2 linked regions of the Lepisosteus oculatus genome follow. The protein of the gene in region 1 interacts with the protein of each later gene in a pairwise test. Links are inferred from orthologs where the notes say so. Each region holds a gene or a part of one and is shown in the gene's direction. Other genes may lie near its edges.

Region 1 (17,110 bases):
GTGACCCGGAAGTACACGCGCCAGATCTTAGAAGGAATGTCCTACCTGCACAGCAACATGATTGTCCATCGTGACATCAAAGGTACTAACGGGTGCAACTGTCCCCATCTCCCTTAGACACGACTGCAGTAATGAAGAGCTTTATTAGGGGTTTATTGATTATGCTGATGCCTTGATCTGTGGTATCATAGTGTTATTTTACTTATAAGTGCTTCTTTAAGGGGTTGAGATGAGTTAGACATAGAAGAGACTGGGCAGCAGGAGACGTGCATGAGGTGAGCAAGAGCTGGGAACAGGAATATAAACTGGATCTGCACAGACGACTGCAGACCGGTAAGCAGTGATCTTTAAAAATGAGATAAAGTTATAGACAAGAGCAGGCCGTTCAGTCTTTTGTAGCTTGCTTGGTAGTTAGTAGCTAATGAATCGAAGGATCTGACCCAGCTGTTAGGCTGACTGAACAAAAAAAAAATCAGCATAGTTCTGGAGGAGTTACAGAAGGCATCAAGATTAAGAAGATAATTATTATTTCATACAGAATATCGATGAAAAGAATGGTTGCTAAATTATTGCGTTAAGAATACATCACTGGTTTCTACTGCTCCTGCTGTAAACAGTGACGATTTCTGCTCAGGACACAAAAGAAAAGATCAGAGAGGAGGCCACCCCAGACTCACTGTCAGTCCCCAGCCAGAGGTCCGGAGTCAGACTCTCATTAGTCTTATCAGAAAGCACACAAGAAGTCCATCTGATGGAGACAGACCTGTCTTGGGGGAGGGGGCAGCTCACTTCCTGTGCCTTCAGCCCCTGGCCTCCAGCAGAGACGCACTGTAACTGACTGGAAATTTGCTTTGCAAAACCTCTTCGTAGGAGAGCCTGCCGAGCTCCTTGCTGCCGACGGAGAGAAAAATGTTGCTTTTCCTGACAGCTGGGGAGGGTTAGTTAAAGCAATTCGCTCCTCGTGATGGTTTGGGAAGGTCTGACAAATGCATTGTTTTATTTATGTGCAGTGTTTATTGGATCCATTGCAGAATTTTGGGCTTGTTGTTATTGTTCTGAAGATAAGGTAGATGCATGCAATGCAATCACTCACCTATTGTAAATCCCAAACTTTGTGATTGTGATCTCGCTCCACTATAGCGACCGGTACCCCCCTGAGAGTGCCGTGTCCCTGCTCAACGCCACAGCACAGATTCAAGCCCTCAGTGCCTGCAGTTGCCCAGCCCCAGCTCCTGTAGGGCCCTTCGTCTTTTTAACTCGGGTATTATTGCCCTTCAGGTGCAAACATTTTGCGGGACTCCGCAGGGAATGTGAAGCTGGGGGATTTCGGTGCCAGTAAGCGCCTGCAGACGATCTGCATGTCCGGAACAGGAATCCGCTCGGTGACTGGCACCCCCTACTGGATGAGCCCGGAAGTGATCAGTGGGGAGGGCTACGGCAGGAAAGCGGATGTCTGGTAAGGCTGCAGTTCGTCCACTTTCACTTCCTCGGCGCTTCCTCCTGCTGGCTCTTTATTCAGGGTCCAGGTTCTGAAACACTTTAAAGTCCATAAAATAGCTAAAGCAGAGATGAAGAGAGTTCAGGCAGTAGAGCATCCAGGCAGATCAATAGGAAGGTGTGACTGATCTTGAATTCTCCTGCTGAGAGTTTGAGAGTGAAAAGAGAGCACTGGAGCACACCACACCCCTGATCTTGAAGGATTATGGGCTGCTGAGACTGGATTTGAAAACAGAAGACATGGAAGTGAAGTTTAACATCATAGACAATAGAAACAAAGGGTTAAAATGCATTAAGCGTCTCTGAGGCCTGTTTTGAAGGCTGAATGACTATTTCCTTAGCTTCTCCACTATATAACAGCCCCCATGTGGTTTATTGAGAAGTTCTTATTTATGTGGACTTGCTAAAAAAGCAGTGGAATAATAAAAAAATTAGGCCCCTAAACTGAATAAGCTGCGTAAAGTGGGGGGGTTCACCTGCTCCTGGTTCACAGTGGGGTTCCCCCTGCAGTCTGGTTGGGCAGTCTGCGTCAGGGAGCTGGGATTGGCCGAGAGCCAGCCCTTCCAGTGAGCAGCTCGATCTGGGGTCGGAATGTTCCCCGCCCGTGTTCCCCACTCCCCCAGGGACTGGGAACACGCTGAAACCCGAGAAGGCTGTCGCCTGGAAAAGGGACCGAAATCGAAGGGTGTTTTTCTCCATCCAGACACTCTTCATGTCAGGACACTGCCTGTATTCTTTTTAATGCTGTACATAAAAAGTTTCCATGAAAACATTCCAGCTGTCTTAAAATAAACTCTCACAGTTTGTGTTCTTCTGTCCAGTGAAACCCCAGAGCAACATTCTTGACAAATTCTGATGTTTTTTGTAAATCTATATCCCGGTGTTTGTAGATTCCTAGTCCAAGTTCATGTGAAAATCTTCAAGAACCCGTGAGACTGCTTTATTAGAACAGCTTGAACGTGGTGTCACCATTTAGAAAAATGTGTGAGGGGGAAACTTGCATGTCATGTGTGATGGCAACACTTTAGCATGTTGTTACTTTTCGTTAAAGCCCGACTGTGAAGAGTTTTCAGGTAGGGTTCTGTCCAAGTCACTGTACTGCAATATCATCATCTAATTGCTGACGAATCTGCCTAATTAAACGTTTTTTTACTGGATGAAAAAAGTAAAAACTTCTTTTACCCTTAGCCATAAAAGGGATCATTATTAAGAAAGACTGAAATTCCCAGGGGTTTCACTGACTTGACAAGAGTTGGGCCTTTGTAATTAACAAAAGCTTTTTTATTAAATGTTTTTAATTTAGCAAGTGTGATTTTTTTTTTCCTTTTCTGCTCAGTTCTTGAAACTCAGCCCTTCAGCCTGTAGGTGGTGCCATGTTGCATACTGTGACATGATTTGAGGTTGAGATGGTATTGGAGATCAGCTTCGATTTCCAACTTTCCTGAATTGTATTTCTTGCTGCCCCTTAGTGGCAGCTGTCAAACCAAAAGTTTGAGACAGCTCTGAGCAGCAGTACCTTTGTAATTCTTAGGAAAGACATTTATGTGTGTATGTATATATAAAGCCTTAAAAATTGCAACCTAAATAAAATGGTTTGATTTTTTCCTTTTGTTGCGGACAGGAGCCTCGGCTGTACGGTGGTGGAGATGCTGACGGAGAAGCCCCCCTGGGCGGAGTACGAGGCCATGGCCGCCATCTTCAAGATCGCCACCCAGCCCACCAACCCCGCGCTGCCTTCCCACATCTCCGACCACACGCGCGACTTCCTCAAGCGCATCTTCGTGGAGGCCAAGCACCGGCCCTCCGCGGAGGAGCTGCTGAGACACCCCTTCTCCCAGATCCTGTGCTGAGCAGACCCCCGGGGCCGTGGCAGTCCCGCCTTCACAGGGGCACCTCCTGGATGAATGTGCATTCCCTGCGGTCACCACAAGGGGGCACCAAGCTGCAGTGAGGATGTCAGGTTTACTGAGGTGCAAGATCCTTTGTAAAAATGGTCAGGATCCAGTACTTTCTTTCCTGTTATTTTAATATGCAGTGGAATAGCTGAGTTAATGGCTGCTTCTGTACAGTGTTTGGGTTCACCTTTAATGGGATAACTGCCATTAGTACACTGGGATCCAACAGATCCTTTTTTTTTCCTACAAAATGGAATTCAGTGGTGCTCAGAAATATTGGATCCCCACTTTGAGCAAACGTCTTTAAGTGCAAACAATTGTATATAGATTTTTTTTTTCTTCAAGAGGCCAGGATCCAGGACTGAACAGTTCTGTTTAGAATCAGTTAGTGCTGACCAGATGCATCGTTAAGGCACTGCCCCTGGTTTTGAGTAAGTCTTGATAGCAGTGCCCGGAGCTGCTGTTCATGTTTGGCTCACAGTTGACCCAACTGTGGCTATTGTCTTAAATCGTGAAAAAGACAACTTCTATAACTTATTAGTATTTTGCAATGCTGTGTGTAAGATGAGACGTCCGTCATTTTTATTTGTGACTGAAATTTTCCCGCAGTTATTGTCTTGCCTTCAAAAAACCGGCCAGATCTTAAATTTCAGGTCGGTTCTTTCTCAGCACACTTTCGACTGTCCTGTAGAGCTGGGGGTTATTCTGGCGCTGGTCCCTGTACTCAAGGCGAGGCGAGCGATCGTGTTTATTATTTCACAAAGTGTGCTTGTGTGCCCGTCGGTCTTGGGACATCCTGTGTGCCTCTGGCGAGAGTGAAAGACACTCCATCTCCTCCAGGTGGCGCTGATGCCCCTGTCCGGCACTGCAGGGGGGAATGGTTTGGATCAGGAGGCAAGTCAGAGAAGTGTCTTGCAGGAGCAACTTCTGACTTAGCATGCTATTGTAATACTACAGATGATTCCACATTTCCTTGTGAAATTGTGATGAACTGCTGAATGGCACAAATGAAGAACCCCGAACTGGGTACTTTCCGCTTCTACTAAGAGACTGGTTAAATCTCAATTCCGACAACCTAGCTGATAGATAATGAGTTCCAAAACCAGGAGCTGGCATAAAGTGCCTTGGAGGTTTGCCCTGAATCAGGGCTACATGGAGAGAGAGCACCCTAGGAGGCGAGCACGTGCTCCTCCAGATTTCCAGCCAGGTTGAAATCTGACCTTGTAGGTTAGATCCAAAGTTCTCTTTACTTCTGTCAAAAAAACACAGTAAGTGTCCTAGTGCTTATTGCCTGCAGTAATTGCCCCTTACTGGGCATTGTAGTTTGTACCAGGTCTACCTGCAGGTGACAGTTCTGTAATGTTTCTGATAAGGTTTGAAACCAAAATCCCATACGACGGACTTGAGGGGAATCAGGTCAGCGATTCGCCTTGGTGTAACGCATTGCAGGGCACTGACAGCGGTCCCCTTGAGAGTGAAGTTAGAAAAAAAAGAGTTTTCAGAAGATTGCTGTGGCCACCAGGATGGAGAGGATGACAAATCCAAGAAGCAGCATCTTCATGATCAAAAAATAACTCGGAGCTCATGAAGCCCTCTGCCTGCTCAGTTCTCTAGTGGCAGTAGCATCTAGAGGGACAGTAAAACATGGCCTCCTAATTCTACATGATCTCAATTTGTTCAGTATTTTAAAAACGTTACATAGATGAATTCTCAAGAACTACAGTCAAGCACTTTACTATTTAAGAGACATAATTGGAATATTCAGTGTTATTACGGCTGTAGCACACCCTGTATCATAATCCAAGCCACTCAGTCAAAGCAGGCCAGAACAGAGGTGACACCAGATGTTCTTCTGATGCATATTATCAGCAACATATTTGTCAAGATAGAAACATGTGCCTATTTCAGCATGAAGAAACCTAGCCCCTGCTTATAGGTATCTTTTTCCATTTGTCCTGTTTGTTTTGGATCTGGAACAAGGGATATGGACAGCGTTAATGCCTTTCTGAATATACAGTAGGAGAATGCAGTGTTTGTTCTTTTTCTAGTGAGCACAGACTGACCTGAATCAGCATTATTCCAGTGAGAGTCTTCACCGGTTTGACAGTTCTGAGAGTATTTGCACTGAACGGATGTCACAAAGAAAAGCCATTTTTGGACGCTCAGATTTTTTTTTGTCCAGCACCAGTCCACTCCCCGCGCGCCCCCCGGCCGAAACGCGATCCGATCTGCAGTGATCGCGCGGCGGTCTGGCCGTGCGGCTGCCTCTCTGGGACTGTTTGTGCCAGCCATTTCTTTCTCGTGTCTCGTGAGGGGGTTCTCCGCACCACATCCGTACTTGTACCAAAGAGTGTTCTTCTCCATTTTCCCAAAGAACGAGTGTTGGGGTTCGAGGGGGCAAAGCCTTCATTTTGACTTCGCCGATGAGCTGAAGTGAGAATGCGGAAAGGCGTTCTGTGTTGGAGACGGTTTGCTTGGCTTGCCTCCTCCTCGCTTCCTCCCCCCGAAAAAAAACACGATTTTCTTCCTGAGACGGTGTTATTCCAGTTGCTTCCAGTATTTTGTACATTAAGTAAAATGTTCGCTGAGTTAGAGAATGGGGGGGCTAAGGATAAGAGGATTAATTTCTCTCCTGCCTGTCAAATCTAGCATTTATTTTGTCAGAAATGCACTTTTTTATGAATGTAGGTATTTTTTGTGCCTTTGTTAGCTTTTGGCTTTTTTTTTTCACAAAAAGAATCATTAATGTGAAGCCTCTTTTTCTCTTTATTTATACCCTAGAGTTCATTAATAGGATGATGTGTTTTTTATATATAAATATATTTTTGTTATATCGACTCTAGACAGTTGGATGATGTTTCTAATGACAGTTTCTAATGATGCCTTAAGAAATATGATATAAGAAAAACAGAAGCAGCTGGTTTTGCAGAGATTATGCTGAGGGATTATTTGTAGTGTTAAAAAAACACTGGGTCAAACGAGCTCTGTATTCCCTGTGAGTGCTGTACAGGTCTGTGAGGGGTGTCCAATTTATGTAGCAGCCGAACCAACAGTCCCACTGAAGATCAACCCTTCACTAGACAGCAACTAAAAGATGGGAGTCCTGTGAGGTCCAGTCCTGTTAACTGGACTGTACCTGTCAAAATAACTGGATCAAGTCAGACTTTAACCAACCCAACAGTCACAAATTCCACTGCTCAGTCCTGGGAGACTTTTCCTCCTCGCGCTCCTCATGTGTGGAATTGCCAATTGTTTCAGCACCTTGCCTTGCTGTTAAAACATCTTCAGCAGCAGTGAAAAAAAGTGCGCACACACACACAGCAACCAAAACACGCACCACCAGCTTCAGGTGAAGGACTTGGAACAGCAGGCTCTAGGGACACTGCGAGCTTGCGGGCACCCATGGGAGTCACCGTAGAGAGGCACACCAAGGGACCGTGCAGTCCCATAACCGCAGTGGCACGGACCAAACAATGCTCTGCGGCTTGGGGAATTGTGGGTACACTGCACTAATGACATAGCTCAGACCTGAAGAGGCAATCTCCAGGATACAAAGCTCTGCCCACAGAGCCATTTCCCCATTGGGTCACTTGGAAAGGCGATGACAGTGTGCTAAAAGAGGGTTTCTGGGGTTTCATTTGTGACGGGGAGGCTGAGATGGGCTTCTACTGCCTTTCGACCCTGTATTGGATAAAGCAGTGAGAAAATGGAGGGATGGATTCGAGCCATTTATTGAATGAGGACATTGGAACAAACACCACAGGGACACATAGCCTCAAACTTCAAGTGGTCTGGGGCAGCATGCTGTATCCATGCCACAGTCTGCAGGAGTTCTGTGCTTTTTTTCTTTTATTAGCACCTTTGTAAGGTTCTACTGTTTTCTTTCTGTTAAAAATCATTTGGGACAGTTGACTGAATGTCTTGTGGCTCAATCAGTGAGCACGGTGCCGAACACATCTGCCCAATAATCTCTGAGCACTTTTAAAGTTCTCAAACAGACGAGGGAGAGATCTCTTGACAGCCAAACCACCCTTTCAATGAATGCTTTGGACACTGTTGTGCTACAGTGAAGCTTCTCCAAATGTTTTCTTCAAAACAAGTTTCAAACGGCGTGTTTTCGTTCATCACAGTTGCAGTGTTATTTAAAAAAAGAAGCCGACTTCTTCTTCAATAGGGGGAATTGTTTTAAAACAAGTGCTTATGAATGGAGCACCACCATTGTAGTGAAACTTTCCGTCAGTAGGCTCCACAGCACTTTGAAATTGGGCTTGAGGCTGCTGAAGTATCTTTGAGTTTTAGGAGGCAATTACAGGGGATACCAGAGCAACATTTCACCCAGCGTGACGATTCTGTTTAGCCCAGGGTTGGGGGACCTCCTGAGTGCCTGTTTTGTGCTGACTATAACCTTGCAGTCAGAAGTCTTTCACCTCGAGTGAACATCCACTCGTATCAGTTTTTTTCTATTATTTCCGCTGCTCAACATGGTGATGGTTAAGTTTAAAATTCCTTGCCATCAAAGGAATCTTTTCTTTTGAAGTGCTCGATATCTTCCAAGGAATGTCAGTGTTGTTTGAGACCCTGGATTACTCAGAAGAATATGGACCAGTAGTTTAAATATGTATATGAATATATAAGGATATATATATCGACAGGGGGCTTGCAGTGCAAAGCCAGCCCAGTGTATCAAAATTTATTTACAATAAAATGGTTCAATATGCCTACTGAGGTGTCTGGGAATTGTTTCTTACATTGTGGAAAATTTGAGTTTGTCTAAGAGGTTTTTTTAAGTAATTCTCAGCTGGTAAAGAATTTGTACTGAGGCTGAATTCTGTACACTGGTCTTAATTTAGCCACCTCGTGGTTACATCCATTTAGTATTTTTATAGCTGTCCCAGCTTGCAAGGTGAGTTCTGAAGGGGGTTTCTTATTAATTCTGCCCTTCAAGCATGCTTTAACGTGGCAGATGCCAGTTAAAAATATGTCAATTATAAGACTGCGTCCACATCACAGCCTGTTCCTTCATTTTCTACAGGTTTTTCACAGGTGATTGAAAAGTGTTTCCTGACAGTCTGAGTCACATTGCTTGGCAGAATAGTTTTGCAGCTTTGTATCTTTCGCAGTTACTGACGTGTTTTTTTTTATCCCGCATCTGCTGCTGTATATACAAATTAGAATGGCAGAATTACTGACACTCTTTCTTGTGCTTGTACCTTTCACATGGTGCATTTTCAATTAACCTTTAATTAACTCTGCTGCCTCACACCTCTTGGCTTCTGCATTACCTGCTGGATCTTCTGTGTGGAATTTGCATGTCACCCTTGTGTTCTTTTGGCTGTTGGAGTGCTGCACTTTGCTCTTGGTGTCCAGAACACGTGGGCTTTTTTTAACACTGTCGCTAAATTGCATGTGGCCCGGGACAGACTGTAGTCCTGCCCAGCACCCTGCGCTTTCTGGGATGGGCTCTGGTTTGCTGTACCTTACTGGGAATGAGCAGTTTCCCGATGATGGATGAACGATTTCCAGTACTCCCTTCCCCCATTGCTCCCTTCTCGGTGACCGCAGTAAGTGTTCTTGCACCGGAGATAGAGCAGGATCCTGGTAAGGAGCATTTCAGACACGTGATGAGGAAGCTGCAGGGGGGGCTGCTCTTCAGGTGCCACTTTAAACTCGCCGATGATCTCGGGTTAAACCATTAAAGCACTCGCCCAGCCCTGAGCTCTCTGCTCTGAAGCGTCGATGTCTGTCTTTCACAGCTGCGTCCGACAAGCTTCCTTTCCCGTTTGATAACCAAAATGATCCGCCCGTTGATATGATTCCTGAGCAGCATGGCACCTTTCAAATCTGCACGGTTCAGCCAGGTCGAATAAAAAATGTCGATGGGTGGATCGTCTAGACAGCGATTTCTTCATGTGTTAAATGATTTTGTTTTTGCATTTGAATACCGTTAAAAACATGCGAACGGTATAGTTCAAATTGGACACAGTACGCGCTCAAGGTAACCGCACAACCGAGACCGGATTGCAGCCGTCAAACACTGCTCGGTAGGTACAGAAATTAAAACTCCCCCCAGTGGGCTCTTCTGTAAGATCTTGGCTCTTACCCTGCATTGAGAAAATAGCCGTAAAATTTATCAAAGCCTGAGCGGTTTTTCCAACCTTTTACACCACATACAGTACGTGTCTAAAATCAAACCTGATGAAAGGTCCAGGATTAGATGAGGTACAGTGCGCCCTTTAATGACTTAAGATGAATTTTAAACCTCATTTTACATGAACAGAAATGTTAAGACTTTCCCCAACATGTTATGCTGACATTCAGGGAGCGGGCTATAATTCTTTGTCTTAGTATTTTATTTTCAGGTGTACATGTACATCGTGTAAGAACATCGCTGCCTGTTATTTTAAGGCCCGGTAATTACCAAGATAGCGCATTACGCTGTCCTCGTAAATATAACGGTTTTTTTTTTCCAAGGCAAACTATCACAGGCTACAGTTTGAATTTCCACCTTATATTGAAATACTCGTATTATTTCTGATATAGTGGATCATGCTGGAGGTTACGGCTTGCTACCTGATAGTATAAATGAAAGATCGTGCTGCTTTCCGTGCATTAAAGATGCAGGGATGCAGTTTCGCAAGGTTTATTTATAGTTCATTGCTGTGCTCGACAGTGGGTAGTTCTAGCTGTATTTCGATGGGCTGTGCTGTTCGACACGTCATCGAAAGCCGGGCTGGGGGGCATCTTCTGAGATCACTGGTACAGGAGACAGAGGGAGGAGAGACGAGGGATGTTGTAGCACCTCGGACAGTACCGCTTCAGCGAGCTGCGTCGGAGGGCCGGTATGCACCGGAGCTAGAATTACATTTGTTTTTTAAAAAAGGGGGGTGGGGGAGATATCGGTGCATTTTGACGTTTGACGGCTCCTTTCGTCGGTTGGGTACGAATCCCTCATCGCTGGCGATCTCCTTCCGACAGCCCGAGGACCCGGGGAGATGTACACGGCGTAACAAGGGAGGGGTCTTGTCGGTCGGTACCGAGCGGTGTGGATCTGCGCCGTCCTGGATGGAATCGAGCTGCCTCCAGTCTGCAATGGCGATGGGGCTGTCGTCGAAAAAAGCATCTTGTCGGAGCGTCGCGGTGGAAAGGAAGAACTTGATTACGGTTTGCCGGTAAGAGCTGGAGAGGAATGTGAATGGCCGTTTTACTGATGCACTGTCGACTGTGGGTGCTGGGATTTCTTTTTGTTGGGGGGTCACGTTACATTATTTTTCTATATAGTGACCACCGCTTTAAGCAGTCCTCGATTTCCAGCGTGACAAACCCTTCGCCTGGTCGCAGTCTGTAACGCAGAAGCGGCCCGGCTCAACGACGAGACCGGTGTTGAGCGCTGATGCGAGGATGAGGCAGGCCGGGGTCATTGTCGCGATGGCTTTATGATTCGTAACGTTTCACTATAGCAGCTCAATCAAAAATAATGAGATACGAGTGATCATCCTAGGAAATTCAAACATAACATATTCGTTGTCTTGACGGGTGATGTGTTTTGGGTCGCCCGTAGTGGGTACAAGCGAAGAAAAGATCAAATAACCGGCTGGCAGGCGTGTGGGGTCATTAAGTGAAATAATGGACTGCTGGAGCGCTTGTCTTCCGCTACTGTAGTCCTTGAGGGCTGGGACCTGAAGACCGGGCCGGGGGTGCCTGTGTGGTGTGTGGTACCCCCGGTATCCGGGAGGTTGTTGTGGATGTGAGGTAATCCGTCGCCGGAGCAGGAATGTCACGGATGGTGTCGTTGCCAAGGCGACAACCTTCCCGTGGAAGAGGACACTGTAGCTGCCGTCGCCTCGGCTGTGTCGCTGTGCTGAAGGAAACCTCAATCAATAACTGAGCGAGAAAGCATCCGCTGTCATTTGTTTTGATCAAATATTAAAGCTTTAAAAATGGATTCAATTGCTTAACAATTGTAGTGTCCTGTCGTGGTATAGGCTGCAGTGCCCAATGACCTTTTCTCGTTGAGACGAATAAAGGCCACTAGGGAATAGCAATTAACCCCTACAGCAGTGCTTCTGACTGACAGCAATACTTCTGCACTATCATTAAATGTTTTCAACAAAATAGCTGGTGACATTGTTACCGGATATGAAACAAGTGTAGAATCACCAGTATTGTATAATGTGCATATTCCCTGGTGTGTATTTTTAATGCTGTTGTTTAACATTGTGAGGACAGTGGGATTGTACTGCGCATAGCTGGAGTGAACAACTACAGTACGATTCATTTTCACACAAGTTGTTTTAATATTTATAGTAGTACAACCTTGTTTTCCCAATGGTAACTTTATATCTGATGTGCTCAATGAAAATCCAATACAACTGCTTCCAAAATATTGCTGGTCATTTCAGAAAAATAAATTGGAAACCGTTATGTTGTCCACACCATCGTACAGTATTCCTTCAGAGGAGGCTAAATGGAAAACAAAAATATTTTTTCTTTCACAAGTTGGTGCTAGAGCTTGTGAAACATAATCCAGTTTGTGAGAAAGGAAGTAAATCTGAGGTATGTTGTGTAAAAACTGCTAGCTCCTTTTTAGCATGTCTGTATTAGAAGGAAGAAGGTGGAAGATAAAGTTTTTTTCAAAGTAGGCATAGCTGCTGGTTCAAATAAATTTCAAGAAATGTGCTTATACTTGTACTGCTGAAATAACCGGAGGTCAGGGTCCGGGAGGTAATGGCATTGTAGCTTTCCTGTGGAGCACAGGCGCAGTACAGGAGCCATGACAGCAGTCTTTACCATGAAGATTCACGGTCTGGGCGATAGATTGTGAATTTTTTGCACTCACTATAGTAGGAATATCTTTGGCTTAGGATGTAGACTCTGGCAAAACGAATGCTTCTGACTGACAGTCAACAAAGGAGCTGATACCAGGTACCGTCTTAAAATCGGGGTCAAACTGAAAGCATCTCAGGACAGGAGGTGACAATAAGGCCATTGTCCCGTCGTCATGGGGACGCATCGGAATGGCCGAAGGAGGCCTTGTGGTACAAGGGCAGCACCCCTGACATCACTGAATTAGCCAGCATTGTTCTGAGCGCGTTGTCAGAGCCGGAGATCTGACACAGACTGGAAATGGAGTTGGGTAGGAGTGGCGCGTTGTTTGGCCACTTCCATAAGGCAGACTACTCATTCACTGGCTAGATCTCAAAATACCACACTTGACGGCGACTGAAACCCTAGAAGTGCAAACTCCAGATTCAAGTGCTTTTCACGGACCCTTTTCAATACCTAAAAAAACAACAGGTCGTTTGACATTTTCCAAATATTTAGCTCAAGTTAACTCAAGTAACTAAAATTAGAGATGTGAAAAAAACAATATGTTCATGTGGCATTTCAGTGCTGGACTTGCATTGTATAGGGTTCCCAAGCTGTGGTCCAGCATGGTCCTCCTAGAATATCTGAGGTATTCGCAGAAGTCTCTTGTTGGCTTTACCTTGAAGCTTGATCTTCAGGAGTTCAGCAAGACTGGGGCCTGCAAAGTTCTGAGAAGGAGATGGTACTGTATCTAGGAGAAATCAAGTGAAACAAGTTCCTGCTTGTAATGGGGTTGGCACACCAGTAGGTGGCACTGGTACCCCTGATTCTGAAATCCCAAGACAAAGGCAGTGGATGAAGAAAGACAGGCTGAAGACCTGAGGCCTTTTTGTGCCTCCCTGATCTTTGTTGTCCGACTTGTCAGGAGTCTGGGGTTACTATTCTTCTCTTGCAACATATGAAGTTCACATTCCCACGACATGTTAATGTGCAAAACCATTCTGTTTAGTTTAGCTGGTGTATAAAATTACTTGCACCACAGCATAACACAATGTAACAACAAAAACTAACACAATGTTGTAGATAATGACACAAGCAATGTATGTCTGGTTTCACACACATGAGACAGACCTCTGTCATCTTCCTTGATCAGGAAGATCCCCCAGCCTCAATGTGGTGGAATGTGAACTTCAATCCCACAGAAAATGGTTTATTTCAGCTCCAGGCCATCCTTTCAGGAAAATGGGGTGGTACTGGGGTACCTAATATTTTGGCCAGTAGGTATAGAGACTGCTCCTAGGATCTGCAGGGACAGAAAATGCTTTTGCAGCTTTACACCCAGCATCCAAGAGGGGAGACATCCAATTTCTGTATTTTTGTTTTTGTCAGTTGTCCTTGGCTTTAGAAAGTCCAGTAAAAAAAAAAAGAGAGTTAAATCATATTTAAAAAGAGCCACTGAACGTTTCAAGAACTACTTTGGAATGCCCTCATCGTACGGCATGCACTTTTCTCTTTCTGCACAGGAGATTACACATCCCAGTATCAGCCCTTAAACAGAGCCTGCGAGTTGAATGCCATCATAACAACTGAGAACAAAGTACTGCTGTTTTGACAGAGCATTATAAGGATGTGTTATAGGCTTCTGCATGTTTTTTTACATTTGATAGATTTTTATGATGTAAAATTCTCTCATGCTACATGTCATTTATCTTCTTAATTTTATGTTACTCTTGTCCCTTGTGCAAAGAGAAAAATGCTCTATTTTCACGAATTCACACAGCTCCAAAAACTGCTCAAGAAGTTATTGCTGCCTTTGTGAATGTCTTTGTTCTTGTGCTCGGATTGAGTGACTGGCACTGCCGTTTTTCTGCCATGTAACATCCTTTGGTTTTGTTTTTACCTCTTGTTTTAATTCTTACTGATTTAGATAGAGCTCTGTATCAACATTGGAGATAAACAAATGGATTCAATACATCTATAAAACAATGACAACAGTTCTATTTTACAAGTGTTGTGAAAAAAGTTCAACCTTCTATGGTCTCTTCTATAAAGTGTGTTGATGTTGGCATTCTGGTTGGATTTTCAATTCAGTTGGCATTTTCTACCCTTGTATGTGTTCTGCTAATCAGCTTTGAGAAGAAATGTTAGATGATCAAGAAATGTTCGATGTTAGATGACCTGAGGAGGTCAGTGGATAGTGGTCTAAGTCATAAGATTGACAAAGAATAAATAGGCAGTGGTTTCCCTGGAGTCCCTCGAGAAATGTCAGGATGAAATCCTTGAAATTCAGTACATTTCCAGCTTCCAAACAAGCTAGTGGTCCAGAGGGGCATCTTACATTAGTATACTACAGTATATGTGGGGGCATTACGAGCACAAAGCTCTTCTCCAGTCCCGGTCCTGGGCCTGTACACCCACTGTTCTCATTCCAGCTGAGCTCTTTACCTAACAAGTTAGCTCAACTGGAACCTTTGCATGTGTTTTTTATCTCCAGATGTGGGGATCTTAAATTACAGATCAAAAGTTGCAATTGTTAAAAGTCCACCTCCAACATGCTGAGGAGGCGAATACAGTTAAAGGACTGCAAAAAGAATTTTCTTAGCAGTGCTGGCAAAGCTTTTAACTGTATTAGCTGCATTTCACGAACTAGAAAAACAATTGTGACAAATTGCTTTCAAATCAATTTGCTTTATTCTTAATTCTAAAGTAGTAAAAGCGTTGTTTTTTTGCAAATCTTTGAATGCTTGTCTAAACATCCCTGTTCTTCCAGAGTCAACAGATTAATATCCTTCAGTTATTTTGTCTTGAGTAAATTCTTAGATCCAGAAACTATATATAGTTTTATGGTCTGTGGGTTGTGTTCTGCAGGTTTTCAGTGAAGACGCTGTTAGAGAAGTACACAGCAGAGCCTATTGATGACTCATCAGAGGAATTCATCAACTTTGCTGCGATTCTAGAGCAGATCCTTAGCCATCGTTTCAAAGGTAATTGAACCGGAGTCCAGTGAACTGGAGTGCTGAATGAATGAATGACCAGGACCCCTGCCTCAGACTGATCTGATTGCTGGTGGAAAGTGTGAAGCCCGAATTAAATCTAATTAAGTTAACAGAGAATCAAATTACATTCATTAACCATCGGTCATAATGATGAAACTCATTTTTCAAAGCCGAAGAAAGCTTTCTGACTTTTCAAAAATGCCTTCTCAGGCCCTGCCAGCTGGTTCAGCTATGATGGACAGAGAAGCTTCTGGGACTACATTCGCGTTGCCTGCAGCAAAGTCCAGAACAACTGCGTCTCGAGCATCGAGAACATGGAGAACATCAACTCATCCCGAGCAAAGGCAAGAGGCCACTTCGGGAAGTTCTGGAAGTTCTGGAACTTGCCGACCGCAATCCGGCACACGTACAGAGTCTGTTTACGTGCAGTGGGATTGTCCACACCCCAGTGTCAATAGCAGCCTATGCCACTGCCAAGACACTACAGGCCAGACTATCAAATTGTCTGTTTGTGTCAGCTGGGTTTTGTGCTTTGTGTTTTTGCTGCACGCCCAGAGACATTAATAGGCTTATGCATCTGCCCTTGAAAGCTGTGCTGAGAGTTACTGAAGCAGATGGGGAAAGTCATAATGTGACATCAGTACCAAATATTCTCTCCTAGCTGGTTGTATTCACCTAGCCATTTCTGAAAGAAATGTCTTGTCTTCTACTATAATATACTATATTTTGTACTATGTCTGCTGATGATACTGATATGCTTTGTGGCTCTAGATCATAATATACTTCTGTTCTGAAATTAAGGCTACAGTGTGCAGAAGCCCTTTCCTCACTTTTCAAACCACTGCAGATACAGATTTTAAATTTTCTGCATTTTTATCATTATTACATGACAAATGACATGACTTGTCACCGGGAATATTTGTGATTCTACTTATAGGGAAGACCACACTTTGGGACAGTATGAATTTACACCATGCCAGTGATGAGAGACCATTTCCTTCTTAAATAGCCATGTGATTATTTTAACAATCATGTTTCCATCATTTCTGTGAGAACTTTACACTCTTTTCTATTGATAGTTGCAGTCATTATGCCTGCCTTGGTGTATATGTTCCTTTCAATTAAACAGCATTCCTTTTTTCAAATTATTGACAGGTCTGTCAAAGGATCCTTTGTTTATCTTGTATATTTTGCTTTATAATTTGTATGAATTATAAAAGTATGAATTTTGAACAAAGGGAGATTTTATTTAATGTATTTTTGCAATGGTCTGTGGGTTGTGTTCTGCAGGTTTTCAGTGAAGACACAAGCTCTATAAGTTACTGAATGATAGTATTTGCTAGGTTGAACTTCCAAGAGATTTTACAGATACCTTGCTGACTTGTTTACAGGAGGAGCGATTCTGAAAGGATTCCCCAATATTCTTCCCTTTAAATGTGTTTTAAGCCATCAGATATCACACATGTGGAAATTGTAATATAGGTCCTTTTGCTTCATAGTCAATGTACAGTGTTATTTTGTGTGCTGGTCCTTTCAGTGAAAAGGGAAAGATTCCTACTGTGGGTCAGTGCCTTTTATAGACTGTGTGCTGCATACACTGTGTACACACTGATGTGAAGTCACCAGCTTTTCTCTTGCTTGATAATTGAGTTGAGTTTCCCATAACCAAGTACATACAGTATATTTCATATGCTCAGAAGAATTTAAATCTCCTCTACAAGAACATAGCTTGATCCACATCAGCCTACAAAACAATTTAACCGCAGCCCTGATCTGATTTGCAATCAGCGTGCTTAAAATGCATCATATGATGTTTCACCCCTTATCGATCTGTTGTGTGAAAAACAGAGGACATGCCCAAAACTGGACTGAAAGATGGGAAGGCAGGGAATCGCATCTTGTAATTAGTGCAGTTCC
Region 2 (16,390 bases), on another chromosome or scaffold:
TTTTTTCCCACTAAAGCCTTTATATCCGGGGGAAGATAATACTCCAAAAACATTTACATAAACCGTAAAGCTAAAAAGAAATCATCATCTACGATTTCACATTACTCAACCCTGCCTTTTTCGATTTCAGCGCAGCTCAGGAAAGATTTTGCAGCAGAAGTATTTTGTAACATTTCATATAAATGTAGGCAGCACTTTTTAAAGAGGAACCACTTTGGGTTTCAGAATACTGATCATCTGATGCAGCACATTTGAATTTAATTTAACTTAAGTAACTCAAGAAACTTAGGTTCTGTTGGGTTATCTCCAGTGTTTTTCACATTAATCTATTAATTGGCTCCAGCAATTCATTTGCATTAAGGCAGGAAATCTATATATTCTCTGCTGTTAAACATAAAGCTATTAATTAATCCAGTGCAATTAAGTGTCACATTTTCCGCATGTGGGACTGAAGGTAATATTCTCAAAGTGTTTAGCACAGCATGCTGACTACAAGAAATCAGCAAAAGGCAAATGTGATCTGAGTGAAGTCTTATGGGGTGAAAAGTCCAGGCCCAATTGTAAATGCTCAGTGACTCTGGCCTTTAGAAAATGTCAATCAACTGTCAGACCAGTCACCAATAAAATGTGCCTATATACAGTACATATCAGGGTGAGTTGTGGTGCTACACATTTAGTTTTTTTTTTAATTCCATGTTGAATTACAGCCCACACATTCTAAACAGCATAGGCGCTCTACTGATAGTATTGATCTGTGTGTTCGCAGAAAAAGTCCTTGAATGTCTTCTCAAAGGCAGGTGACAGAGAATGAAGGCGGCCCAGAAAATCTTAATAAATGTCATAAATACTGGAAGAAGGCAGTTTTAAGAATTCAGAAATGAATTTGTTTTACATTGCAAGAGCCACTGAACTACATTTTAGCGGCACGTTAAAGTGAAACTGTGGATAAGAGAAAGAGAAGAGAGCATTGCTGTTTAATGTCTAGCAGGGTGAACCTTCGAAGGATATTGGTCTCCCCACATCAAAGATAACATTGCAGCTATGAAGAGAATTTAGTTATCATCTACCAAACTACAGTCTTATGGAGATAAGTTAGCGCACAGTGAATTGTGAATGAGCCCACAGTGACTGAAACGTTTTAAATTCTATTGGGGGGAACTAATACAACCTTGTCAAGTGGCTGTATTTCTTTTAAGCTCGGAGAAACTGTCTCATTATGAATGTTGACTAGATACATTTTAATTATGAGGTAGCACTTAATCAGTCGTTGTGTTACTTGAAATTACATGAGATGATTGACTCATTTTAGTATCTGATGTGGAAACTTGGTGATAAATGATGCAATAAGTGAAAATTCATGTTGTAATCTTCCTTATAAATGATATATTGTTTAGAGTGCCAAACAGTTTATTGGTATTATAAAGCACACAGTTACTACTCTCACATGTACCACATACGTACTTACATACTGTACCTTCATAAATGTGTGTTGTGTACAGCTTTTTACTTCAATATGAATGCTTCTGCTACAGTATATGCCAATCTAACCATACTGAGCATTTTAAATTGAAGCATTGAAAACCCCAAAAACAAATGGAAATTCTAATACAGGTTTAGACTGTTAGTAGCACCAATTATTATATGAAGTTAATACTACCCTGTATGAAGAAGATCTCTGTGAAATGATGACTAAAGATTTTAAAACATTTAGTTTGGAAGCCTTAGAGCAATGCTTTTGTTGTCAGGCTATTACAATTATCCAAGTGAAAACTAGTATTGTAATCAGTATTGTAAATCAGCCTTCTTAGTTAAGACCAACAAATAAAAGCCAGAGATATTTGTGTGACAAAATCCTTACCCCTTGCCAGATGAACCAGTTTCTTTTATTTTCTCTTCTCCATCAGAGCACTAATTAATCATTTTCAAGCCTTGCAACTGGTTTGGAACTCCATTGAGTATTAAATCAAGAAAAAAACATCTGAATAATCAAATTACCATGTCAGGCGGTTCTTTTACCAAGAAAGATTTTTACAGTGTAATATTCTACAAAGTAGAATCTCATGAATACCAAAAACTAACATGCATTCACAGATGCATATCTTCTTGAAATAATGTTTAATCCGCATGCTGTATACAGCTACAACATTTGCTGAGTTTGCCTTACAATGCACGTAAACAGCAAAAGGATTCTCATGTCAAGATGTATTTTTCATGCTGGTAAGCAGCACCTCCCTCACTCAACTGCTCTCAGAGGTATATAAAGAGATATGAGAAACTGAATCAAGTCAATAAACTGAGTGAGGCTGCTGCTTCATAGCATGTTGATATAGTGTGTTTCAAGAATTCTGAGAAGTCTGTGCTAATGTTGCCCTGATCCGGTTCTGCAGATCAGGGCTGGAAACAGGACTTGCACAAAAGTCATTAGATGCTATGTCTGTGTCCTGTTGCATTGCAAAGCAGCAGAGCGGAGGTGAGGTTATTCTTGAGTTTTTCAATGAGGCTCTCAGCAGTGACACCAAGCCTCTGTGGTTTTTTCATTACACTGCAGTAATGAGAAAACCCCCTTTCCTCTTGCAGGTCACGTGCAGGTTTCATGGGTTGAAAAAAACAAAAGAAAGGAAGTTCTCATAACTTGCCTAGGGTTTGACATACAGTACAGTTTTTATTCCATTTTATTCCATTTTGAATGTGTCAGGCTGCAATACTTCAGTGAAAGTCCAGACTTGGGAACCTTACCTTCTCTGTGGAGTTCGCTTGACATTCCCATGTCTACATAGCTAGTGCCCTGATATCCTCCCATAGTCCAATGGCATGGACATTCCAAGTGACATGTCTAATAATAATAATAATAATAATAATAATAATAATAATAATAATAATAATAATGACCGTTGTTGTTGTTATTATTGTTATTATTTTGGACCTGGTTAAATAATACTACTTTTAGAAGAATTCATAGTACATAATGTAGGAATAAATCAAATAATGTATTCAGTTTTACTCTTGCTTTTCTGCATTGTGATACAAAGGGAAAATGCCCTCACCAGTAACAAATCAACAGATTACAGCTCAGCTTTCTGACAAACGGCCTTGTGTTTCTCTTGTACTCAACTTTGCAGCAAAGCTAGTCTGGACATGTGGCCATAAAAGGTGTGAGATTCCTTTCTTAAAGGGATATAGATCCCGTATCTCCGCTAAATTTGCTGTAAAACCTCATCAGAAGGAAACACAATAGCACCTTTGATTTAATTTTCACATGCAGTAGTCTTCTGGTGGATTGCCTTTAATCAGCAAAAACAAAAGAGAAAAAAGAGAATGAGCGTCTCGGCTGCCCTGTTTAACCTCAGTTAGAGAACTGTAACGGCACTCTGCCTCTCTGCCTGCCCTATTGTGAAAAGACAAATGGAGCTGATTGCTCCCCTCACACCTGAAGAAGGCTTCACAGCTGAAACGTTGTGTTTTCTCTCTTCTCTTTTCAGCATGGAATAAACCTATTACTTGTTCCTTTGATTACTTTCTGTACATGTTAAATGATCTTACTCGTAATTAATGGTTTTGCCGTATTCTGTCTTCTGTGTGTGGTTAGTGCTTATTGTAGAAAATGGTTTGCTGGTTCAAATCCAGGTGGTTTAGATATCATCGTATGCGGGACTTCCCTGTTTTTTAAAAGGTCTGTTTTGGAGAAAAAGCTCAGTAGAACATATCAAATCGTATTTATAATGTATGTGCCACTGAACTGCAAGTCGATATTTGACACACACACCGATTAAAGAGCTATTGATTAGAATATTTCACTTCACAATTTTCCCCCTGGGGATATACGCAGTGGATATGAAGTGCAAGTTACAGTTCATGTCAGGGGAATGTACTGCACACAAGCAGTCAATAAGTTTAGAAAGAAAAAAATGCTAATTTTATCATGACTTAAAACTGCTGCTCTCTGAAGAACAGCAGTCCGTGAAACAGAAAGTATTGATTTCCCACACTGAGGAAGAACTGGGTGCCAAAGGCTTCTTTTAACCACAGGCTGAGGAGAAAAACAAATCATCTTCCATTGGTATGAAAAGGTAATGAAATGGGGGCTGTTTACTACTCCCTCACCTTTTCTTACTTTTAAATGGTTAGTCTTCTCTGGCCCTGTTTGTTTATTAAACTCAGGAACTGTTTATGAGGGAGGATGGTGGCTGGGACCATTTTCATTTCCACCAGTGGAATGACTGCTTGCTGTTTTCCAGAGGATTATTCACTGAAACACAGTTGTCACATGGTTTGTATTTATCTAAAAAAGACAGCAGTTTTTTTCAGTCCTACTTTTGCTTGTATTGTTTCATTGAAAAAAAAATGTTTAGAAACAACTATATTAAATAAAATATGAATATATGTATAAACTTGCCCCTACTCTGGGGGTAAAGAAAATATTTGACCTTTAAATGTCTGCATGACACATACATGATATATAGAGGTAAAAATGTAATAAATTCATTTGCCTTTAAAATCATTTTCAGATGAGCAGGTTTACAATTGCATTGTAGAGATTAGCACTGTGTTAATTACATACCCTGCAGGTGATGCACATGAAGTCACGAAGCCCTGCCAAAACTGCAAGATGTCATTAATATTCTCCTCTTAGAAAGTGAGCTTGAGCATCTTTTCTTTACATCCAGCTACAAAGATGAAACCATCACATATTAAAGATGCAATTGTTGTTTTGCAAGGCTTACTGAACCAGTTTATCTCCATTCCGCGAGTACAAACGCTTCGTGCGATTCTATGAATGACGTCTGTGCACAGGAAGACAGGAAGGCTATAAGGCGAAGCCACCAGACACTTCTCTCTGTCTAATGGAGGAAACCCATGACTTCCTGTGTCACAGGTCTCTGTGCTACCTTTTCATTTGGCAGGAATAAAGTTCGAGATATGTCAACGGTATATCTCGTTAGCAGACAGAAGTCTGTTGCAGGGGCTATTCTGCGTCCTTCCTCATAGTTTCAGTGTTTACAGTTCATTGAATGAACTGATATGAAGAATACAAAAGCCCCTTGTATAGTTGAAAAAATGTCAGAAAAAACAGAAGAAAGCAATCACAAAGAAATCATACTAACATTCTGTTGTTTCTAGGTACTAGGAGTAACCTGCATTCATCTTCCACCGTGCAGGAATATTTGTGTGGGTGGGAAAAAGACTTTACCTTTATTTGCACATGTCATGTCAAAAACGGGTATTTCATTTCCTTAGGTATCTCGAAAAAGCAGAAACTGTGTGGAAATACAACTCAAATTCAAATCGAGAATTCAAATCAAGGAAAGCTATGTTACAATTGCATAACACACTAGTAAGGCTTCATTTAGAACAGTTTTTGTCGCTGTGGTATAGGACAGATATTTCTGCTACTGGAATCAGTGCAGAGAAGAGCAGACATTACAGGAGCTGAGAAGCTAGGCTCCTACACTGACAGGCTGAAGGAACTGAACCTTTTTAGTCTTGTACAGACAAACCTATCATGTCTGATGTATTTCAGACATATCCCACGATTCACAGCAAGGATAGGACTAATTTAGTTGCTAGCTTTAAGACTGCGTTTTTTTATTTTCTTTAAAACATAAGAAAGTATTAAACTGAAACGTTATACTTGCACCTCTCAAAATCTTAATGTACCGATTCTGCCGAATACATCAGTGTGTTCTCAACGCCGAGACGCCCTGAGGTTTACACAAAACCCGTGCAGAAAATGATTGGTGCCACTTCGCTGTTTTATTGAAACAGCCCCGCCTAAGTCCCGAGCAGGAAAAAGGCAGTGAGTTATGAACCCTTCTCACATCACAAGCCACAAAGGCAGAGGAATGTGTCAGACAGAAACAGATAACCCCCACCTGCGCTAGCGAGGCTGCATGACTCACTCACTTCGGTACACTGCTCTGCTTATCAAAGGTGCTCAACTACAGCGCAGTTACTTGCAGTTACATTCTTCGCCAAGTATCGGCTGTGTCTAGGCAATGACAACCAGTAGCTAGAGAAACGTATGAAATGGTTTTAAATAAATGGAGAGTTTGTTTTTCCGAGAACGTATTCGTTTAAATCAACTAAATACATTTCGGTTCGAAACTATTGCCAGGGCCATTGCAGTTTCTTTGGGGGGTAATGAACATTAAAGAAGACATACTTTTATGTAGGATAAGGATTAATGAGCGTTTCCAGTTGAGTGTTTTCTATAGTGTGTTTCTCACAAAAAAAGCGCAATATTGAAAGAAGTATATATTGTATTACGATAATATTTTGTATTTTTGTAATATTGTATATTTTGTAAGTAACCTTGGATCAGAGATACTTAAATAATAGCAGTTCATCGTGTTTCGTTCCTATAAAAAACAGACCTTTAAGCAATTACAGGTGACGCTGTTTATGTGCATATGCACGAATTATTTGTAATCCTTTACCATCTCGTGATGCCTTAGTGTTAGTTTGCACATGATAAGTAAATTTGTCTGGAAATGTTTCGTTGTGAGTCACTTAAAGTGGAATTTTATTGCCGTAGTTTTCTATGCGCTTAATTTAAATCCATTCCCTTTTTCCTCAATGAGTGGCGTATTATTTAAAGCAAACAAGCGCATTAGCTGATGGTATTTTTTGTTCAGAAGCAGTACAGATCTTGAGAGACACCGTGTGTCTCTCAATTGACAGCGGATAGTGGTACGACACATAAATCTACATATTCCTATAAGTCTTTAAGTACACTGTGATCAAAAGAAGCTAAACGACATGTGAGGATGCTTTTATAGGGTCATTGTTGTAAAACAAATGGCGTTCAGCTAGAGAATACTGGCTTGTCTGCAAAAGAAGGTTAAGATTATGTAAAGTATGTTCATTGACTGGAATCAGGAAACAGATTTAGTATGGTTATTGTCTTCCCCGTCGCTTGTTGTGTACCAAAAAAAAAAACAGCAGTGAACGCTGAAACCCATATGCCAATATATATATAATTCACACTGTCTTATAAAAAACAGCAGTGAAGCGTTCAAACCCAAGAGTCAATGTATATATAACAATCCACACTGTATTATAAAAAAAAACATGAGTGAAGCGTTCAAACCCAAGTGCCAATATATATATATCCACGTTTTATTGTCAAACCTAGCAGTGAGGCGTTCTAACCCAAGTGCCAATGGCTATCTAAAAATCCACACTTTATGATAAAAACTAGAGGCCAAGAAATCGCTTTAAACCCAACCTCTATTTTCTTAGACCGGATGGCTCTGGATATGCATTAATCGCCTTTACACACACCTAGATTCCCCTCCTTTTGTGAATCAATCTTTTTACAGCAGCGCCGGCTGAATGGGGCATTTCCTCCACTGTGAATGCGTCTCGGTGAAGAGGGGTGTCGGGGGTTGATGAGTCATGAAAGCACGCCGTTAGCAAAGACTGGGCGTGATTTGTCCCCCCCGGTATCACACGCCTGTACACAAAAGGTGAGTAGGGGAAAACCGGGCGCAAGAGTCAGACGGCGAGCTCGTCGTTACCCCTTTAAGAAGCTCAGCCCAGCCTCTGGGCCGTGACGCGCAGACGCTGCGCGCTGTGTCTGTGGGCAGGAAGAGCGTGGTCAGAGTGCGTTGATCACTCCTTCTACAGTAGCAGTGCACAAGGAAACAGCAGGGCGCAACATGTTACATTTCTGATGCTGGGGCACGGTTTAAATCGCCTCGCTTCTCGCCCGACACGCAGATCCTGCACGATCGCCGCGGAAATCCGAAGAGCCGGGTGGAAAGGGGCGTCCCGAGGCTCGGGGCTCCTGAAGGTCTGAAAGCGCACCGGGGCGGCCAGCGGCGCAAAGCGCAGCCCAGAGAAAGCGAGGCGGAGAGGACTATTTCAGAAGCCATGAGAGAATACAAAGTAGTCGTGCTTGGATCGGGCGGAGTGGGCAAATCGGCTTTGACTGTGCAGTTTGTAACGGGATCCTTCATAGAGAAATACGACCCGACCATAGAGGACTTTTACAGGAAAGAGATCGAGGTGGACTCTTCGCCTTCGGTGCTTGAGATTTTGGACACCGCGGGGACGGAGCAGTTCGCCTCCATGCGAGACCTGTACATCAAAAACGGGCAGGGCTTTATTCTGGTCTACAGCCTGGTAAACCAGCAGAGTTTCCAAGACATCAAGCCGATGAGGGATCAGATCATCCGGGTGAAGCGATACGAGCGAGTGCCCATGATCTTAGTGGGGAACAAGGTGGATTTGGAAGGCGAGCGAGAAGTGTCCTCGGGGGAAGGGAAGGCGCTGGCAGATGAATGGAATTGCCCCTTCATGGAAACTTCGGCCAAAAATAAAGGCTCCGTAGACGAACTCTTTGCAGAGATTGTCAGGCAGATGAACTATGCCTCGCAGCCAAACGGGGACGACCAGTGCTGTTCCTCGTGTGTTATCCTTTAAAACATATTTTCTCAACAACAACAACAACAAAAAAAAGTTTGCGATGGTGAGTGACTCTAATACACAACTAAAGATCCGAAGACTAACCAGTTTGGTTGATAACGTTATGGTGTAATACGTCGACTGTATCATGATCAGTATTTTTTTTTAAAAAAGTGTCCTGCTGTCTTGCACACTCTTCTTACAAAACGTGATCCAAACCCAGTGTTTACATGGCAGAATACGCCTAGTGTTCTGGGAATAAAAACAAAGAAGAAAAAAGACATTTGCATTTTTGGAAATATCGTTGTCGAGTGCCTAGGTGGTGATATTTATTTACTTAAAATGCAAAGAAAAAGACCAACACGTCTGTTTCTTTCTGTCCTGGAAATCTGTTGTAGGGTTTCATCCTTGATGCGGGGGTTCCTGAAGATATCTCTTGGGACGGAATAAGACTTTTTCTGTGTGGCTAAATGCGAGGAGAACATGTTCACGAACCGGGAAAAAGGAGCACCCCGTAAAGGGTCACCGAGATTGTAAGAGCTCTGCACGGAAGCAGAAAACGCGGTGTCATCTGTTGCACCCTTAACTGGAACTAATCAGACTCTGCTGTCGGGAGCAGGAACGGGCAAGTTCGTTTCTGGGGGGGAAAAACATATTTTGTACCTGCTACATAGAGTTGGGAGTTAAGGAAATCAGTGGTATTTTCAATTTGGGAAACACACATTTTAAAAGAAGAAAAATAACTTTTTTTTTGCTTGATCAGAAAAACCTGCATCATCTGAGCAGTGCCACCGTAACACCGTCAACGAAGACCTTAATTAGTGATTTGGGGACGCCAAGAGCCCCGTGTCTACTAGTGCCTTCCAAAATCAGCTGTTTAACTTAGTGCCAACCTACGAAAGTCTCCACCCAATCCCATTATCTTGCAATCCACAAAGTACTTAACTGTTTCCCTTAGGTAATCAGACAGGAGAAAAAAGAGACAGAAGAACCTATTGTTGATTGAATGCGTTTTTTAAAAAAGCATCTTGGCCTTTTAAATGTAATTTCTACGCCTGTTGAGGTTCGGCCTGATTTTAATTGAAGTCCACAGGTACTGGATATCATCACATCAGTTTTGCTGTTCTTCCCTGCTTTTCTTCCCAGACCAGCAGATGCAAAGGAATTTTTGTGTTTTTGTTTTAACAAAATGTGATGTACCATTGGAATTCTAACCCGATTGTAATTTTATTTTCAGACCAGCCTTTTAACAGCTGTCTGTTTTCAAAAGACTTTTAATACAAATTGCATTTGTAAAAAAAAATGGATTTGTGCTCTCTGTTTTGTTCACACTCTGTCAAGTATTGTAGGTACAAATGTGCATTTGATACAGACCTCCGCTTTTAAAAACACACACTGTACTGCTTTTGTAGTTTAACTGCAGTTTCTGCACTACAAAGTATGCTTTGCAGATTATAAAGAAATCTCAAATGTGTTTAATGTCTCCCTTAGCTGTCACTGTCATTTTTAGTGCTAGTAGTCCTTTGGGTTTTCCTGTTGTCTGCAGTCTTGTGAAATGCTGTGTTTGCACCACACAGGGATTTCAGCAGCAACGTAGAGATTGAGTCATCCAGGGTGAAAATAAGTTAGGAAGGGTGTGTAGCAGATAACCTGTTACACTCAATTTCTCTGTAGTATAAAAAGCAGCGTTAAAAGTATTTAGTACCTGCCTTTGTCATTCTCATAGCCGGAAATGGAAAAATGTGATTCACCACATTCTAGTTGAATCACTCTTGACAGATGAAGGAGAAACTGCAGAAACCATCACACACTGAAGTGTAGTAGACCATACTGTGGATCGACAACGATTCCCAGTAAAGCAGTGCGTTTGTTTTAATTTGTTGATAGTGGCGGTGTGTTGTTGATAGTCTGTGTTTCCCAGCCCCGTGTCAGTGGTATCGTCTGTGTCTGTGTGTTTCGGCTGTTTGATTTCTGGCCGTTTTCTGCACGCAGGGTCTTAGTTTGAGAAAAAAAATCTCCTGTTTGTTTATTGTTACCAGGAAACATAGTGGATAGATCTCTTTCCACTTGGTTTAAATTGTTGCTTTCCCTGTACCTTTATTGGTTGTCCCTAGTTATCAATTAGTGAAGAGTATACACAAGAGAGAAGGTCAATATATCGAACACTCACATGATAAGCATTCTTGGGAACCTATGGACTTGTTGCTTAAGTTCCTGTCACTTAGGTTTCTCGTTTGAAGGTGAAATACTGAAACCCCGCTTCTGGTCCAGACTAAATGCAAATTTTATACCTTCTTTTACTATGCAAGCCATGAAACTGTAAGCAAATAGCTCGGTAAACGTAATAGATGAATGGTTTAGTTTGAACAAAAACTCAAAAGACGTAGGGGTATTCCAGGGACAGGGCTGGAAAATGGTGATGGTGTTTAATGTGGTTCTGTGGGTGTACCACGTTGTAGTGTGTCTTCAGTCACCTCATGCTTTTGTTTTACAGGAAAGTGATTAGCAAGATAAAGGATTTGATCTTTCAGAGGTTGTGATGATTTGTTTCTCTGTCGATATGTGTTTGAAAGATGTTTACTTTATTGCAATCTAGAACTGTGTGGAGCTGCTTATTAAGCTGTGATCAGGAGGCACTTTTTTATCCAAAGTGTTGTGAGAGTCTGGAACTGGCTGCCCAGTCCTGTTCTTGAAGCAGATGCCCCAGTGTCTTTCACGAAACAGCTGGGTGACATGCGTTCCTAGCTACAAAATCAGCTAGATGGGACGCAAAACCTCCTGCCATTTGTAACCGTCCTTTCTTAATTTCAAATGTACTTGTTAGAGAGTGCTTTGCAACGGTTTTCTTTTTTTGGCGCTGGAGGGACTCCAACTGCGATACCTGAAGTGTGTGCGTTTGAGAGAAGATGACAGGGAATGTGGAATGTTTTTTTCTTCTTCAAGGTGCAGCTGTTGCAATCTTGATGGTTACTGTCTAAAAAACTGTAAGAATCATTTGAGTTTGTTTCCAGAGCATTGAATGAATCTAAACCCTCCTATTTAAGAAGTATGTGTTTAGTTGTTTATCATGTTTTTTTTGTTCTTGTTGGCGTTAAGAATGAGCTAATCATATCATCTGAATGTTTCCTCAGCAAGGTTATATGCATCTCTGCGGCATATAGGCTGTGAATCAGAATGTCAGATTTAAAATTGTCTGCTTCAGATTTAAATGTCAAGCTGAAGTGACAAGGAAGTTCACTTCAAGGATTCCTAAGCATTCCCTTGTCTCACTAAAAAGCATCTGGTCTTTGTAAAACACCTTCAGTGCTTATTATGACTCAGAATTGTAAGTTCAGTTCATTTATGGATGATTTTTAAAATAACTGAGATGGATAAGTAATGAGTGCCGAGAGCTGTTCTTTTCAGGTTGGTTGATCATTGCATATCATACAATACTCGATTGAGGTGTGCACACTAAAACTGAACCAGTAGTTCACAAACTGTGTTTTAGACTTTTCATATACTGCGCTGGCAGCTGTCTTCTTGTTTGGATAGTTTGTCCTTTAAGTTCTTACCCTAAAACCCTCCCTGCCACTTTCCAGTGTATGAATGAAACATTACTGGGCCTGCTGTATTAAGGCACAGATGACACCAGGCCTCAATCATAAGTGTTTCAGAACTAAGTTCCCAATTTCTCTTCTGGGCTTATTTCACTTCCCTTATTCATTTCTTAAGGCGAACAGTCATGAAACTTTAATTGAAGTAAGCTTGGTCTCCCAACTTCTTCCTTTCTGCCTCAATCATTGTAATTGAGTGTGAAATTCTGGAGCTTTTTTTTAGGACTTGACCCTGTTGTTTGATTGACATGCCTTGTTGAGGAGATAGTTCCAGCCAAAGCGGGGAAAAAAAGACAAAAAATTGGTTTGGACGTGATATGTCTGAGAGATTGGATGAAAAAGGGCTGTTTTGCCAGTAGACGCTGTCATATGAACTAAGCATTAAGCAACAGGAAAATGTAACTCTTTTCATTGAAACGTTCTGTGATGCGTCAAACAGAACCGGAGCTGTGTGTTTGTTAGTATCTTGACGAGATCAGGGCCGGAAAATATCCTTGAAGTGGCTCAGCCGTCCGTGGCTGTGTTTTTCTTATGTAGCGCAGTTCCTCTGGGTGTTGTCATGAGCGAAGGTCTTGGTTCCTCTGAGTGGTGCTGTCCTCCTGTACTGAAGATGGCCTCTGTGGTTCCCTGCGGTGCTCATCTCATATCCGAGGGTGACAAGGGTCGCGTCTTCTTTCACTGTGGTTCTCCTGAAGGCCACAGTGGTTTTTATTACACTCTTCTTCTCCCGCGTTATAACAAGGAAGCACTGCACAGATGGACCATTCATGCAGATATCAGTGCTGTCTTTCGTGGGTTTTCAAGTACAACACAGTGAATTTCGATCTTCATCCATCAACAAGAGAACCACTGAGGAGATGCACTGATAAATGTTAATTAGACCTGCAGGGGTGTCACATTGCGTGCAAACCCTTTCTTTATTTTTCCCAAAAGAAGTATGAGCTGTCTGTTATGTATGGTTAAAAATAATCTGAATTTCAAATTTAGGAGGCTCGTAGGTCTGGCAGCATCATCTATTGCTTTGAGCACAGCCTTCAATTAATGAGTGTGCAGAATACCCTGAAATTCTTGTGGATTTTTGTAATACTTATCACCCGATTGTCCTGACATGTTTCAGGCATAACCTTCAGATTGCTAGACGCACTTTAATAAAAATAACTTGTCTGAGCAGAGGACTCAGAACTGCATAGCAATTTACTGCAACTAGAGTGATGTGCACGAAACCCGTTTGAAATATCAGGTCATCATTTCCCACAAAGCTAAAGTTGTTTTACTCTCTTTTTGGTTTAATTGCATGGTTCCATGTTGTGAGTGCTTTATGTTGTGATAAGGTATACTTCAGTATATCTTCATTTCAATTTGTTCTGCTGCCCGTAGATGATTAGTATACTTTCTTTTGAAATTTAAGATGGTAGTTTCAGTAAAGTTTGATTTACTTTATGTTCCAGTGATCTTCAGTTAAAAACATGGGCTTTGCTACTCTTAAGGAAAAGGCTGTGTTTGCATATACTGTATACATGTTTTTAACAACCCTGTTAGTGTTCATTTCAGTAGCGCAAGGTAACAGAACTTCCTGCCTATAGTTTGTGTCGGTAGTGGGGACTGTTACATAGCTTCTTTGTGGAGCAGACTTACACACAAACATACATACTACTGTACATCCAGTTTAAAATCAGAGTATTTTCCCTGTTTACATTTCACCACACTTGACGGTTTGGCCAGGAATTTCATTTTATGTGCAAGCAGGTGGGTGTTATTTTTCTAAAGTTCTAAATCTAAATTCTGATAATAAATTATTTGGCCAGTCCCTTACTGACCTAAGCCATGAATACGTTTGTATGATCTAATCTGAATGTTTATGTTTGAATGCCTCTGTCATTTATCCTTGAAGCAGCATTATTGAAATAATTTCCTTAACTCCAAGCAATGCATTTAAGTAAGAAAAGAAGTATTAAGCTGTGTAATAATACCCCTTTCCCCTCCCCAGTTTTCAGTTTCAAACTGTAGTCATTTGCACAGCTGTAAAGGCAGTTGTCTAGAGTGGGGGGTGAGGGAAACGGCTCTGGGTACAGTTCTGGGGTGAACAGGAAGGAATGCACTGCTTTTCAGCCCTTCTGATGGCAGATCCTGAATGACAGGAAATATAAGGCAGACTTTTAAGATGGCTGGTGCCTGGGGCAGAGTCATGTGATAATCACATCATCGAGATACAGTTTCATGAGCACCTCCTCCACTCTGTCAGGTTGTCTAACAAGTCATGACATGCCCTAAATCTAAAGCTAACCTTAAAGGGTTTTTTTAGGTGAAAATGTGCTTTTCTGTGATGGGTATTGGGCTTAATTTTAAATATGGGGAATTACTATGATTAGCAAGAAAGAGGTTTTTATATATGTATATACGTTTCTACAAAAACTTCAACTTCAACACAATTGAGACATTTGGTTAAATCTTATATTCTGAGACTTAAGACTGCTGTCATTTAGCTTTTCAGAGTGTGTCACGTTGATTTTAAAAATGCAGATTGAAAAACCCGTTTCCAGCTTGACCCGGCAATGAAAAAAGAAAAGCCAGGACATTTTCAGCACAGAGAAAACAAAAGAGGCATCTGAATTTGGCATCGCCCCCAGATTGGTATACCCCTCAAGACTGATCAGCCAGAAAAGTCTAAATTTAGGCAAAGTCTCCAAATGTCCTCACCAGCTTTGCCAAAAGATGATGTCTTCTCCTTTCCTTAGTGTATGTTGACATCGTTCTGGGCAGCTGCCACAGAGGGCCTCAGTAATAATAAAGAACAGAAATAACCTTGAGACACGGAGATCCTGTGAGAAAATATTTGCACGATTTGTGTGGTTGACTCTCAAGGATATTCTTGGCTCACGTACGCGTTATAACCAAACATTCATATTTGCCTCAAGTATAGTATTGCTGTTCCAGACTTTGTAAGCACTTTATCAAGGTTGCATTTTCAAAGCAAGGTGCTGGGATGGAATTAGACATGGAAGCTGGTGTAGGATGCTTCTCCTGAACAATGATAAGCTATCGTGTAGCTGCTGATCTTTGCCTCTGTCTCGGTGGCTGAACACTGACATAATCTGAATGTGTCCCACTAACAGGTTAAAGAATTAGGACAAGTTTAGCTCCAACGAAAGGCTTTCTGCAACTCCATCAGCAAATTTAGTCTGAGATATTGTGGCCACATTTTGTGCTTCTTGATGCGTGTTTAAACCTTAATTAGAGAGTTCTGAACAGATTCTGGACTTTGTGCTCTTTTTTTATTTTACTCATCTGATTTGTGTGGTATTGTCACCGCGCATAACATCTTGAGTTAACTGCCCTGTGTCTAGCATATCACTTGCAGGACGTCAAAACTGTATTGATGGTGTCAAGTAAGAAGGCTTTGTGTGATTCGTAGTGGCGGGGGGAGGGAGCCTACTAAGAAACAAATGCAAATATATGACCAAACATTTAAAAGCCTGAATGGGTTTGCGTTATGTGGAGAAGAACAGTTCTTATCCCAGTTGTGAAGATAGCCGAGGCAGATGAGATTGAGCCTCTAAAGGACACTGTACATGCTGGGCCCGGCCAGATGTAAAACGCTTGTGCTTTTGCAAATGTTTTGTGTAAAGTTAATATTGTTAATCGGAGAACCTTCATTTTTATGGGATTGTGTGTGGACGTGCAGCAACTCTTTTGATATCCCTGGGCTGTCCAGATTTCTCCTTGTCAAAGTACCACTTTTACGGGTTGTGTGGGTGGGATGCTTCACGGAGATGATTACCTTGTGTCTTAGCTGAATAAAGGTCTTTTATAACTGTGTTTCACAGTGTCATTTCAAAGGGTGTAGTAGCCACTTGTGAAAGTGTGCGTTGGTTGTCAAAGAGTTCAGAGCACAGTGCAGTGTAGTCTCGGGGAGTTCAGTGTCGTGCAATGTTCATTCAACTCATTCAGTTTGAATTTCAGTGTTAAAATTAGTAACATACGTGCAGGAGATGTTTAAAATTCAGTTTTGATGTTGGTCTATGTACACAGAGTATTTTTGGAGTTGTGGCTGACTATTTTACCATGTGATCCTTTTAAGCTTTCCACTTCCTTATATACCAAGAGGCATTAAAAATGGAACAAATGCTGTTGGTTCCAGAACACATTTGTTATGTTTTTAAAGCCTCTTAGCAATTAATTTAAACACTTGGGGAATTATAGGAAGTTAAGACTAGATTACAGTTTTAAATGTTGCTCTGCAGAGGATACACATTGTATTTTCATTATTAGTTTTCTTTAAAAAAAAAGAAGTACTGTATCAGGCTGTTATGTTATGGAATATTTAAATCCTAATTATGCAAACAGGAAGCACGTCTCTGGCAGGTTTGCAGTTGATTTCCCGTTACTTT

Evidence for each region.
Region 2: the proteins of rundc3aa (region 1) and ras-related protein Rap-2b interact in binary tests that used the Homo sapiens proteins (3 or more experiments, as listed by UniProt). The two-hybrid records come from large-scale screens. The link is inferred for Lepisosteus oculatus from reciprocal best matches to the Homo sapiens genes RUNDC3A and RAP2B.

The regions. Positions count from the first base shown.
Region 1 is NC_090723.1:1,755,050-1,772,159, reverse strand, and holds the start of rundc3aa (RUN domain-containing protein 3A), read left to right. Parts: upstream 1-9,907; 5' UTR 9,908-9,974; coding exon 9,975-10,561; intron 10,562-15,065; coding exon 15,066-15,181; intron 15,182-15,403; coding exon 15,404-15,537; intron 15,538-17,110. Other genes in the region: map3k3 (mitogen-activated protein kinase kinase kinase 3), read left to right, coding at 1-82, 1,279-1,456, 3,119-3,347. UniProt on the Homo sapiens protein: May act as an effector of RAP2A in neuronal cells.
Region 2 is NC_090708.1:3,001,730-3,018,119, forward strand, and holds ras-related protein Rap-2b, read left to right. Parts: upstream 1-7,771; 5' UTR 7,772-7,872; coding exon 7,873-8,424; 3' UTR 8,425-8,470; intron 8,471-8,804; 3' UTR 8,805-15,813; downstream 15,814-16,390. UniProt on the Homo sapiens protein: Small GTP-binding protein which cycles between a GDP-bound inactive and a GTP-bound active form. Involved in EGFR and CHRM3 signaling pathways through stimulation of PLCE1.